Linked DNA regions of Macaca fascicularis. The protein of the gene in region 1 interacts with the protein of each later gene in a pairwise test. Links are inferred from orthologs where the notes say so. Each region holds a gene or a part of one and is shown in the gene's direction. Other genes may lie near its edges. The genes, in order: AGR2, FABP2 and NUP62CL.

Region 1 (4,175 bases):
TGACTCCAAATCCCATCTACTTGTTACTTTCAGGGAATAAGAGACTGATAGACTTTGGTCCCAACTCTGCCCTAAACTAGTTGTGAGACCTTCAAAAAGTTATGAATTTTTTGCTATTCATTTATTCATCTGTAAAATGAGGGAATGGAATTGAACATTCCAAGGGTCTATATAAGGGCCTGCTAGTTTTAAGAATTTTGCTCAAATCATCGTTTTCAAACTCCTGAAGAAATTATTTCTGTAAATTCATTTAGAATTGAAAGGAAATTCAGTATTTGGAGAATCACAATTTCGCCCACAGAATTCAAGGATTTATTGGAAAAATATACATACTTGCAAATGTTTTTGAAATATTATGACCTTAACTCATTTTAAAAAGTCATTTATATAGGGCTTGCATCCCATTCGTTAACTTTCTGTTGTTAAAATTTTCTCCATTCTGAGATTTTAAAGACTGCACGCAACTTCATGAACAAAATACAGGATTAACATTTTCTGACAGAAAATTTAAATTCCAGTTTAAAAATCTTCAGGGAGTAATTAAATAATCTTAAGTGGAAAAAAAAATTAGTTGCAGATCTTAGTTTTTAGGTCTGAAAAAATGGAGTAAATGGCTTCCTGCTTGCGTAGCAGGAAAGTTTGCCTTTAAGTAAGAAATTATCTGTAAAATACCTTTGAACTCTGTGGAGGGAAGTTGCTGCACACATTCAATGGCAAGGTAATTATTACAAGCTCCCAGTATTAGGCTGTTTTTTTTCCAATACTTCCTCAGTTTTGAAATATTATATGGGTTACTTGATTTGTATTTTTTTCATACCTGCAGAAGTTAGGGTGCATTTTTTTGACAGGAGTGGGGACGTATTGTAGAAAATAATTTTTTATCATAATGGAGTATGGCAGGTTATGTGACTGTGAGGATCAGAATTGTGAATCATCTCTTGTGTGTTTTCAAGTAAATAAAGGCAATCTGCCCACGGGGCAGAAAAAAAAAAATCTACAAACTACAAACTCCGTCCAATCACATAAAGACAAATCAGCCTTCAGGCAAATCAAATGTCTTCATTCAAAGTCTACCTGGATTTGGCACTCTGCCCATCGTTTCAAAACCTCTTAACAATACACTTCACAAATAGTTAAAAACATGTATACTGAAAAGCCTACTTTTGCAATGTTATTTTTAAAAACAAGGAACTCTTTAACCCAAGGAAGATAATCACTTGGAAAAAAGAAGGTTCGTTTCTGAGTTAGCAACAAGTAAATGCAGCACTAGTGGGTGGGATTGAGGTGTGCCCTGGTGCATAAATAGAGACTCAGCTGTGCTGGCACACTCAGAAGCTTGGACCGCATCCTAGCCGCCGGCTCACACAAGGCAGGTGGGTGAGGAAATCCAGGTAAGGCTCCTGACAGCAGCTTTAGATGGGCACTTGCTGGAGTGAATTTTGGCCTCTGATTGCTATATAAAGTTGTAGGCAATCAAGCAACAGAGAACTGCAAGTTTCCAAGGGCAATGAAGTAGAATTTGGAAGGGAAATATGGAATTTCCACCAAAGGCTTACTGGGGCCTTTCTTTGGCTAGAGCTGGCACAGTGTGATGTTCCTGAGTTAGTTCAGAGAAAGGCTTTCTCCTTTGGGAAACAAAATTTCCAAGAGTAGGTGAATCCTAGGATTTTTCAAGCCTGGAACAGGGTCCAGGGATTTTCGTCTGTCACCATCTAAAGCTTTCTTTCCCACAGGCTAAAGAAAAGCCCCATACGCATCTCCACTATGACACCTCAGCCCGGATTGTCCGCTTGGAATATATTATTGCAAATCAGAAAACAGTTTTCTTTCTCTTTTTGGTGCAAAGACATTCTTGTTGCCTCTGCAATCTTTAAATTCATGGGATAGGCTGTTCAAGGAGAGGGCTGGTTGCTTTTCTGAAACATTTACAAACACGGACACTAAAATGTCTTGCAAGTTCATTCTTTGCTAAAGATGAGAAGACAGGGATATGGTGACGAGTAAAAAGTGCTGGCTTCACATAGTGTGTGTGTGTGTGTGTGTGTGTGTGTGTGTCCCTATGTGTGCGTGTCTGTGTGTCTCCAAATTATCAGTATTTTCCATGGTTGGAATTGTGCTTTGAGGTGGTTTATGCAGGAAATTTGCACAGCAGAATCTATTCATATTACAAAAACTCAGTGGAGTGAATCTCAGAAAGTCACCCCGGAGCAGGATGTTTGTACAGCAGGAGTTATATTAGCCTTCCTTGAGTCATCCTGCCGTAAAACACAAGCAATATATCAATAGTTCCAACCTGTAACCTTTGGAGATATTGCAAGGTCCTAATAGCTACTTGTAAAACAAGAACTGTAAATGGGCTAAGTAAATAAAAATGCTTTACCATCAATTTACTATTTTTTAGAATATACATAGATGCCGTTATAAATAAAGGACAAAATCCAATGTTTGTTGATAGATTCAAAGAAGTTATTTGCCATCTGTTTCTGAACCAACCAGTATTCTAAAAGTATAATTATTCTCATGTAAAAGTTCTTGATTTTTTTAACATTAAAAAGAAGTCTTTATACAAAGAAGGCTGAGAATTGTTGACTTACAGTGTACACTTAGGTTGTTATTGCAAAACTCTAGAAGACAAAAGTTATTGGCATTTCCACATCTTTTTGGGTATAGAAAATGAACAAAGTATATCCCTGATTTTTGCTTACATCTTTTCTGAGTAAGACATTTTGTGCTTATGTACTATGAATTAGTTAATAATTGGTCAGTTAAATACAAAATGTCATTTCGACCTGGTAACTTAGCAACACCTTTAAAAACAAATCAGCTAATGCTTAGCAAAGGTTTCCACTCAAGATACTAGATTATGAAAAACTTCCCGCTTAACAATAGTGATTCCTTGCAGAGTTTATTTGACTTCATTCAAAACCATTCACCAATACTAGAGTTAGGTGCTGTGGTTTCATATTTCCTTTTTAGCACTTTCAGTGTTTGGTTTTATCAGAATCCCAAGTCTCCAGCCTTCCATGTTACAGCCCCGTGGACAACCTTAGTGACTTGCTAGAGCAACTCACTTTGCTCCCTCCCCACCTCCTCACTCACTAAACTTATCTTGTCATTTATTTTCCTGTTCATAGGCTCTAGCTTTTCCTGGGAATCAACTGTGGAATACCAGAAAGAAAAAGTAATTTAACTAAGATATCGGCTAGGTGTGGTGGCTCACTCCTGTAATCCCAGCACTTTGGGAGGCCAAGGCAGGAGGATCACTTGAGGTCAGGAATTTGAGACCAGCCTGGGCAACATGACAAAAGTCTATCTCTACTAAAAAATACAAAAACATAGCCAAGTATGGTGGCACGTGCCTGTAGTCCTAGCTCCTTAGGAGGCTGAGGAGGGAGGATCACTTGAACCCAGAAGGTGGAGGTTGCAGTGAGCCAAGATTGTACCACTGCACTCCAGCCTGGGCAACAGAGTGAGACCTTGTCTCCAAAAAACGTAAATGTAAATTTCCTTAGCTACTAGAGTATATACATCTATTTTCTTAAAATATAACTATATTATTTCTATATAGATGTATATCTATATAGATAACTCTATATCTATAGAGATCTTTATATTTTTGTCTGTATCTATGTGGATCAATAGACAGCTATCCATACTATATACAGACAGTCCCAACTTACAGTAGTTTGACTTAATTTTTTGACTTTATGATGGTGCAAAAGGAATACACATTCAGTAGAAACTGTATTTCAAGTATCCATATAGCCATTCTGGTTTTTACTTCCAATACAGTATTCATAAAAATTACTTGAGATAGTCAACAGTTTACTATAAAATGGGCTTTGTGTTGGATGTCTTTTCCCAACCGTAAGCTAATGTGAGTGTTCTGAGCACATTTAAGGTAGGTTCAGCTGTGGTGATCATTAGGTTAGGTGTATTACAGTAGTTCCCCCATTATCTGTGGGGGTTATGGTCCATGACCCTCAGTGGATGCCTGAAACCACAGATGAGTACCAAACACTACATATGCTATGTTTTTTCCTATACATATATATCTATGATAAAGTCGAAATTATAAATTAAGCACAATAAGAGATTAACAAGAGCTAATAATAAAACAGAACAATTACAACAGTATCTTATAACAAAAGTTAGGTGAATTTGATCTCTCTCTC
Region 2 (4,229 bases), on another chromosome or scaffold:
GCACCAGGCAACTCTTTTTCTTTTTTAACGAAATAATAGAGATAGTAGAAAATAGTTTGCTTTTTAAAGTGCTTACTTAATAAAATAAAAAGTGGGCAACTCGAAATAAAAAAATCAAACAATATCAAAAATGTTTAAAAGATTTTTAAAAATCAAAATATAAAATAATACCAAAATTTAAAAACCGGGATTCTATTCCCCAATGTTCTGTTCAAATCTGTTAGATTTATCTTCCCTGGACCCTAAGTAATATCTTGGGCAAGCCCTAGAGCTTCTTTCCTGAGCCTTAGTTAATAAGATGTTATCTGGTCACATTCAATCACAATAATAGACTCATTTTAGTAATAAACATCTTAAGACTAGTAATTAAAACTCTTTACTTCACACCACGTTTCCTCCCCAAGCTTGGCCTGTTCCAGGTTGGCAGCGTGAAGTAGGGGAAGGAGAGATATGGTGACCTTTTCTTTGTACCTTTCTAGCTACCCTCTATACCCTAAACACACATACATACTGAGCTGTGGCTTCTGACTCTACTGGGTTTGGGGATGAGAGGCAGTGAGACTGAAACGAAGGAGTGGTTTTAATTAATGGCACAGCTAAAACCGGATTTTGTTCTCTCTGCACATAGCAGATGTTTAAAGCTAATTCTTTTATGCAAGTTTTTATACTATCCAGCCTCATTTGTACCTCTTGAAATTTTGCTCAGTGGCCTATCACCATTCAGGATCAAGACAAAAATTAATGAGCACTTATTGCGTGTCATGCACTGTACCAAGTGCCACGATATTTATCCAAACTCCTGGCAATGCTAAACACAATGCAAAAAGACATATTAGAAAACGAATCTTATTAACTAACTTTTCAACTGTATTTCATCATAAAGTCTTACTTTATAAGATAATTGCTGCTATGAAAAAGAGACAGGTCATGGTCTCATTTCCCAGATATTATCTGACTTACACTATAAATTATATTAGCTCCAACACAGTGTGCACTTTGAACTTAGAAAAACAATCTTCTGATAGCATGCATTCTAATTCTTGAAATAAGTATGCCCACAAACTGTACTTGAAGACAGAATAGGTATGCTTCTCATGTTTTAATTCAGTTGAATTTCAGAAGATCTCAGGAATGTACAGAATGAGAATTAACTAATTAAGAATTAATTAATAAGAATTCTTATTAATTAATTAATAAGAATTCTTATTAATTAATAAGAATTAATTGCTTGACATAGAGTAGTTAGGTGATTTCCTGAACTTTAAACTTCCACATCACAGTATAGGGTTGCTTCTAAGATAAGAAATATAATAAATTCTTGCCCAAGGACAGACCTGAATCTCTAGTTGCCTGGAGGCTGACTCAACTGAAATCATGGCATTTAATGGCACTTGGAAGGTAGACCGGAGTGAAAACTATGATAAGTTCATGGAAAAAATGGGTAAAGACTTTATTTCTTTGTGGCTTATTCTTTGCTTTCTTACAAACATTTTTCTTTCTAACTCCTAAATCTCTAGGAGATAACAGATAGCTTACAGATAGCTCCTAATGTGGTAGTGAGGATCCAGAAGATGTTCAGAGGAGGGAAATCATATTCTTACTTCTTACATTAGGAAGAATCCACTATCTCACTAATGGAAGAAAAGATTCTTTGAGTGCTGTCCTCTGAAACACACCAAAAAGATCCAGATATGTTTCCTTCACTCTTTAACTGAAAAATGACTTTTTTGTTGTTTACAGTAAGAAAATGGCAGTGTATAATGATAACTTCCAGATTTGAAAATGTTAAATTCTAGGAGATGGAAAAGCAAAGACCATATAAGAAAGTAATGGAAAAAGGTTCTCTTAAAATTTATAGCTCTGAATAAGTTAGATTTAATTCTTATTTCTTCTAACTTACAAAGTTTTGGAATAATCTTGAGAAGCTATGTATTTTCTTCAGGGAAGCTTAATTTAACTGATTTATAAATTGATACCAATACTCTGGCAGCCCATATACTACATAAGATAGGCAAACAAATTTGTGTCATTCCCCTAAAAGAAAAATCTGCATCAATTATAGCTTACAGTTTAGGAATTCTAAGTTTAAATTTATAAAATTTGTAGAGTCTTACAGTGATTTTGGCTATAACATTTGCTAATTTTCTCATTTTTGTGTCAGAAATGCCACAAGAAACAAAGAGAATTATGAAGTTCAAAATTTTAAAGCCACTATGAAAAACAAAGGGGCATTTAAGAAAAAAGAATACGGTATATGTAGAATTAAATATGTGCTTCCTCATAAATATATGAATATACATTTTAATCCTTCATTTGATATTTCTAGAACTTAATTTACTTAACACTGAAATGAACAGTTTGTTAATCTTATTAAAGTTGTTCAGCTCTAAGATTCTATAATTCTGTACTGTACTTAATTTTTCTCAAGTTTTGGAAAAACAACTTTAACCAGTTCTCTTGATCTGATTGAAACTGAACTTCTATAGAAGCAATCTGAATGCTCTTATGCAAAGGCAATGCTACCGAGTTTTCTTCCCACCCTCAAAATAAACAAACAAAACATAACCTGGAAAAATAAACGCTTCTTATGGGATTTGACTTTATTTTCTCCATTGTCTTACCTTTTGCAGGTGTTAATTTAGTGAAAAGGAAGCTTGCAGCTCATGACAATTTGAAGCTGACAATTACACAAGAAGGAAATAAATTCACAGTCAAAGAATCAAGCACTTTTCGAAACATTGAAGTTGTTTTTGAACTTGGTGTCACCTTTAATTACAACCTAGCAGACGGAACTGAACTCAGTGTAAGAATTTTTTTTATGAGCAATGCATTCTTGATTTTTCTACCCAATATTAAAATGATCTCTGCTCTATTTCATTGGTTGGTTTAATTAATGCAGGTCTCCTTCATTTACTGAAGAAGCCAATGAAGTTTGTCTATGTTATATATTGCACAAATTGGCAGGGTTATCTAAGTATTACACTTTTATTTTTATATGCATCTGTGAAGAATCTGAATCGAACAATAAGAATTAGAAAAAATATCTTTTGAATGACTGAGTATAGACCTATTCATAAAAAAAATCAAAACTGTGTTTTTAAACAGTACACCAACAGAAGCTTTTAGAGTTAATATGTAACTTAACTGTAATAGTAATTTAATATGTTGAAATAATAAAAGAAATGGACAAACGAATAAATGAGTGAGTTACCAAATGGCAAGCTTTGATGTAGTGCAGGTCATTGAGAGTGTACCTTTTCACGTTTAAGATAACACATTTTAGGAAGTCATCATTTTCAACAAATTTTTTAAAAACTTTTTTAGCCTCAACATTTTTCTATTTAAATTACATATGTTTGTAATGACAATTTAACTACTGAATGTTTTATCAGTTATGCCTTTCTTTAATTAGTTCCACAATCACACAAATTAAAACAAGCACAGAGTTGTTAACCTCTCTATGAAACTTATTAACCATGTTAATAAGTTAACCATGACTATATTTCTGGATATGTAACATGAAAGATTCAGAAAGAAGCCCTGCTCATCTGCCTTAAAATTCAGCATATGGAAATTATTTAAGAAAACAAGCATAATGGTTATCAACACATACTCTGTAGCCCAATGGTCTAGGTTCAATCCTGACTGTGACTTTAGGTGAATCACTGGGCCATTTTACAGTCTCCTCTTCTGTAAAGTAGGATAACAGTATCAATTTCATAGGGTCACCATGAAGATTAAATGAAAAACTGTGTCTACAGAACTCAGAACAGTGCCTGACATGTGTAAGACCCTAATAAATGCTATTATTGTTATCATCATTATTATGTAGGGGACCTGGAGCCTTGAGGGAAATAAACTTGTTGGAAAATTCAAACGGACAGACAATGGAAATGAACTGAATACTGTCCGAGAAATTATAGGCGATGAACTAGTCCAGGTGAGTTGTAACATTTATAGCTATTTTCAAAAGGCAAAAATTACTACAAAACAATAATTTTTATCACTGCTGAGCTAGATCTTCAGTAAACAGACTACTTCTTTTCTCATAAATCTTACTGATTTAAAAAATATTGTATAGCTATTTTCTGATGCCTATTTACTAAAGAGAACTTACATATGTCAAATGATCAATGCCTATTTTAACTGAAAATGTAAACGACTACAAACCAACAAGCGTTTTAAAATGGCTGTATCCTATATCTGTATAAAATCTTGCTATCAAGTAC
Region 3 (4,079 bases), on another chromosome or scaffold:
TTTAAATTTTCTCCCCGAGTCCTATTTTTTTTTATTTCTTTAGAAAATACAGTCTCTGTTCTGAATCCTTATCACAAGAAGCTCTTAAGGAGTGATGACTCCTCCCTCTTTGGTCAAACTGGGTTCTCTCCCTTCACTCAGATTTAATTTTTTTGGTCATACTTCCTCATCTTTTGACAGTTACAGTCAAACGACATGTAATACTTTCCCAATCAGCCCTTGGCGAGTAGTAGGTTTTGTAGGTACAAGTAGTCTCTGCACAGTACACTCGGGCCCACCAAGTGAAGGTCTGACCACTTCTGACTCCTCAGCTTATCTAACCAAGCAACACTGGAACTCTCAGGCCACAGAGTTCAAGTTGTCGCACAAAGGACATTATTCACATAGTGAGTACTGGGGTCATTTTTTTCCCCCCAGTCTGAAGTGTTATATCCCCCAAAACATTTCCTAACCAAGGCATGCTAGGCCAGGATAAATCGTGCCTGCACATATAAAACAGAAGGGTACAGTGGCACATATAAAACAGAAGGGTACAGTGGCTGCTCCAGTTTGGAGCACCCAGATCCTCCTATAAGAGAATATGGTTTACATTCCCAAATTAGTCATTATTAATGGGAAGGGAGAATCAATAAGTGCATGTGAGAGTTGAGAGAAGACCAGTTGAGAAACCTTCAGATGTTCATTTTTGCCTTCTGACAGTCGATCAGCACCCATCTCTCACTCACATCCTGTAAAACCGAGTTTTGTTAAAGCAGCGTCCTGCTTCTAGAGTCTAGGATAGCGGGATTTAGGGAACGGGTCTCCTCTACCTTGTTCAAGTTGTGGCTTTTTGGGGTATCTCTCAGAGTTATGAATATCTAGAGTTTTCCCTAGTTTTTCTGATAGCCACGGCATCTGAGGACCCTGTCTTTTCCCCTCCTAAGGTTCGAGTTTCCTCACCTTGGTCAGTTTTCCGGTCTCAGGCTAGGCTCCGAAAAGACTGTGGAGAGCGCGGCGTCTCTCTGTTGCTAGGGTAACAACTTTGTTTTGTTCCCGCCCCCCACCTGCCAACCTCCGGGTTCCCGCTTGACTTTTCTGGCCAATCATAGAAGAGTCTCATCTGAGACAACACTGGAATCGACCAATCCGAGCGCATCCAGGTCAGGGTCACTAGTCGCCCTTTCTAGTTAACCAGGTCGACCCCTTTTAGCCTCAGTCTGGGTTAGCTTCGCTTCAGCGGGAACCTGCTCACAGCGGAGGCCGGTTCTTTCCGGCTCGAGCAGGTCCGGACCCTCCCCTCTGGCGGCTACGCAGTCTCGGAGGCTTGCTCGTATAGTTCAGGGCCGGACAGCGAGCGGCGGCGGCTGCCACCAAGGTAAGTTTGTGGGGTTTTCATTTGTCCCGTTCGTCAGCACGCTTCGCTCTCTTTTACGCTTTTCCCGCGCGTGAATTCCCGATCTGAGGACTCGATCTCCAGCCAATCTGGAGAGGCGGGGGCAGAAGGGTAGGGGCAGTGGGCCGGGGGTTGAGAAGGGTTTGCTACCGTCCTCCACGCCCCCCGCCTTTCGCGTTTCCCCCACGCGACAGAAACACGTATTGTGCTTCCGTCCTGGCTTGGCACGTGCGATCGTGTTTGTATGTGTGCAGGTGGGATCGCATTTTATTCTTCTCTGTGGGCAAGCCTTCCGGGCCCCAAGTTCCCGGGGGAACACCTGGTCAACTGCCACCTGGTTCCTGTGGGGCACTGGCTTGAGCTACGCGTCGCTCCCACTCTAGGGAAAATCGCGGCTCCGGGAGCTCTGCTTTTCCCGCCTTGGAGTGGAGAAAAGCAGGCGCGCCGCTCGCTTGCCACTGCTAGGGAATCTGGTTGTCTTAGGTTCACTTAGAGATAGAGTTGTTACTCTAGTTTCCCATAAATTCCGTGGCTTGGTTTTAAACAAAGGGGCGGCGGGGGGATGGCGTAATAAATATTTACAGTACTTAGGACTGATTAGCCATGATCAACAGTAGGACCCCACAGATGGTTTTAATGAATGGTTACTTTTGGTTATTCAGGTATTGGAATTTGATTATAAATGAACTAAACTGCTTCCTTTCTTTCTTTATACCATGCATTTCTTAACGACCATCCCATCTGGCATAGGGGATAGTGAAGTTTGATTAATTTGTCCATTCTACTTGTTATTATCTACGGTAAACAAAACGTGGGGATAGAATAAGGTTATTGGCTAAAGCAACGTTATTGGCCTTTTAGCCAACTTACCAATACCTTAATTCCCCTTATTACTGTGAATGATCAGAATTTAGGTGTCTTACATTTTGCTAATTCTTTAGATACTTGTGGAGCTTAAATTATAGATATTATGCCATCTCCTTTTTCTGGCTTTTTTGTTTTTATTCTGCCTCATTGTGCATTATTCTAAGTCTGTAATGCTCAGCCGGTGTTTTTCAGACCTTTTGACTGTGACCAACAGTAAGAAATAAATTTTATATTGTGACCTAGTACACATGTAGACAATATATAACGGACAACCATTTTTACAGAAACAACACTTAACATTTACTACCTGCAATATACTCTGATAATTTCCATTATGTTTTAAAAAATGTACACCACAACTCCCTAATGATTTGTCCCTAGATCTTTAGTTTCCAAACTTGTGTGTGCACTTTATTTAAAATTTATTGAAATAAAGAATTTATTTAAGATGCAGATTGCCCTGGCTCCCTCCAGAAATTGGTTCTGTGGTCTAGTGGGACCCAGGAAGGTATACAATATAGCATATGTGAAATACTTGGTACAGTGTCGGGTGCACAGGTGTTCAGTGAATATTAGTTTTCTTCTTGGGGAACAAATGTTATTTATCTTTAGGGATATAATAAACTCTTCAAGGTTTCATCTGTCTCTGGCAAGGTGGCGTCCAATACTAAGAACTGTTTTCCCCAGGTAGAGGAAGTGGCGGGGTGGGGGATGGGTCCAGGATCTGAGATTAATCTTTAAGCAGTTGGCTTCCCTGAACAATGTTGGAAATACAGAAGCTCAGTGGCTGAGGAACACAAGGATTAGAGAGATTCTGTAACTTTCCCAGGACCGTGCTGTCGGTAAGCAGAGACAACTGAATTTGACTCCTAATTCGGTTTTAAAGTAATGAAACTTGAGAGATCTAAAATATTTTTTAGAATACACCCAAAGGTTTCTGTGGATTTATAGCTATGAAAAATGGATATAGTTTAGCTAATTCTTTTATAATATATAGAGTGTTTTAAAACACTGGTTAAATAATTTATTAATGCAACATTGAAAGAAATTAAAGATGAAAAATCACTCAATTCTGCTACCATAATATAACTGATAATTCTGTTCCCCTCCTATCATTATCCATATGTACCTATGTTTTTACATGATTGTGATCCTTTTTCGTGTACTTTTTTGTTATTTTTATTTAATATTGTTTTGGAAATTTTTTTCCATGTTGTGATAGTCTTTATATTTTGCATTATTAACAGCAACCTAATATTTCATAGAATGAGTTAGCTATAATTTACTTAGCCTAACTAACCAACAACAGAAAATAAGACACTATGTGTGCTTTGAAAAGGGAGATGTAGCCAGGTGCGATGGCTCACACCTGTAATCCCAGCACTTTGGGAGGCTGAGGCAGAAGAATCACTTGAACTCAGGAGTTCAAGACCAGCCTGGGTAACATAGGGAGCCCCCATCTCTATAAAAAATATTAAAAAATTAGTCAGGCTTGGTGCCATGTGCCTGTGGTCCCAGCTACTCAGGAGGCTGAGGTGGGAGGATTGCTTGAGCATGGGAGGTTGAGGCTGCAGTGAGCTGTGATTACGCCACTGCACTCCAGCCTGGGTGACAGAACAAGACCCTGTCTCAAAAAAAAAAAAAAAAAAAAAAAAAGGTAAAGGGAGATGTGAGATGTGCTAATATAGTTATTCCATGATGTCTTGGGTTATTTAAAATCATTTCTATAACTGTATCTTACGTAACAGTGAGCTCAATAGGAAGCCTAACAGGAAGGCCAGATCTAGATCTGGACCTGAGCTGGGAGTTTTTGCCCCTCTTGGATGTATGAATTTGACAA

Evidence for each region.
Region 2: the proteins of AGR2 (region 1) and FABP2 interact in binary tests that used the Homo sapiens proteins (3 or more experiments, as listed by UniProt). The two-hybrid records come from large-scale screens. The link is inferred for Macaca fascicularis from reciprocal best matches to the Homo sapiens genes AGR2 and FABP2.
Region 3: the proteins of AGR2 (region 1) and NUP62CL interact in binary tests that used the Homo sapiens proteins (3 or more experiments, as listed by UniProt). The two-hybrid records come from large-scale screens. The link is inferred for Macaca fascicularis from reciprocal best matches to the Homo sapiens genes AGR2 and NUP62CL.

The regions. Positions count from the first base shown.
Region 1 is NC_088377.1:113,397,065-113,401,239, forward strand, and holds the start of AGR2 (anterior gradient protein 2 homolog), read left to right. Parts: upstream 1-1,326; 5' UTR 1,327-1,373; exon of another isoform or gene 1,374-1,391; intron 1,392-4,175. UniProt on the Homo sapiens protein: Required for MUC2 post-transcriptional synthesis and secretion. May play a role in the production of mucus by intestinal cells. Proto-oncogene that may play a role in cell migration, cell differentiation and cell growth. Promotes cell adhesion.
Region 2 is NC_088379.1:124,601,797-124,606,025, reverse strand, and holds the start of FABP2 (fatty acid-binding protein, intestinal), read left to right. Parts: upstream 1-1,374; coding exon 1,375-1,441; intron 1,442-2,630; coding exon 2,631-2,803; intron 2,804-3,832; coding exon 3,833-3,940; intron 3,941-4,229. UniProt on the Homo sapiens protein: FABPs are thought to play a role in the intracellular transport of long-chain fatty acids and their acyl-CoA esters. FABP2 is probably involved in triglyceride-rich lipoprotein synthesis.
Region 3 is NC_088395.1:113,778,660-113,782,738, reverse strand, and holds the start of NUP62CL (nucleoporin-62 C-terminal-like protein), read left to right. Parts: upstream 1-1,193; 5' UTR 1,194-1,354; intron 1,355-4,079.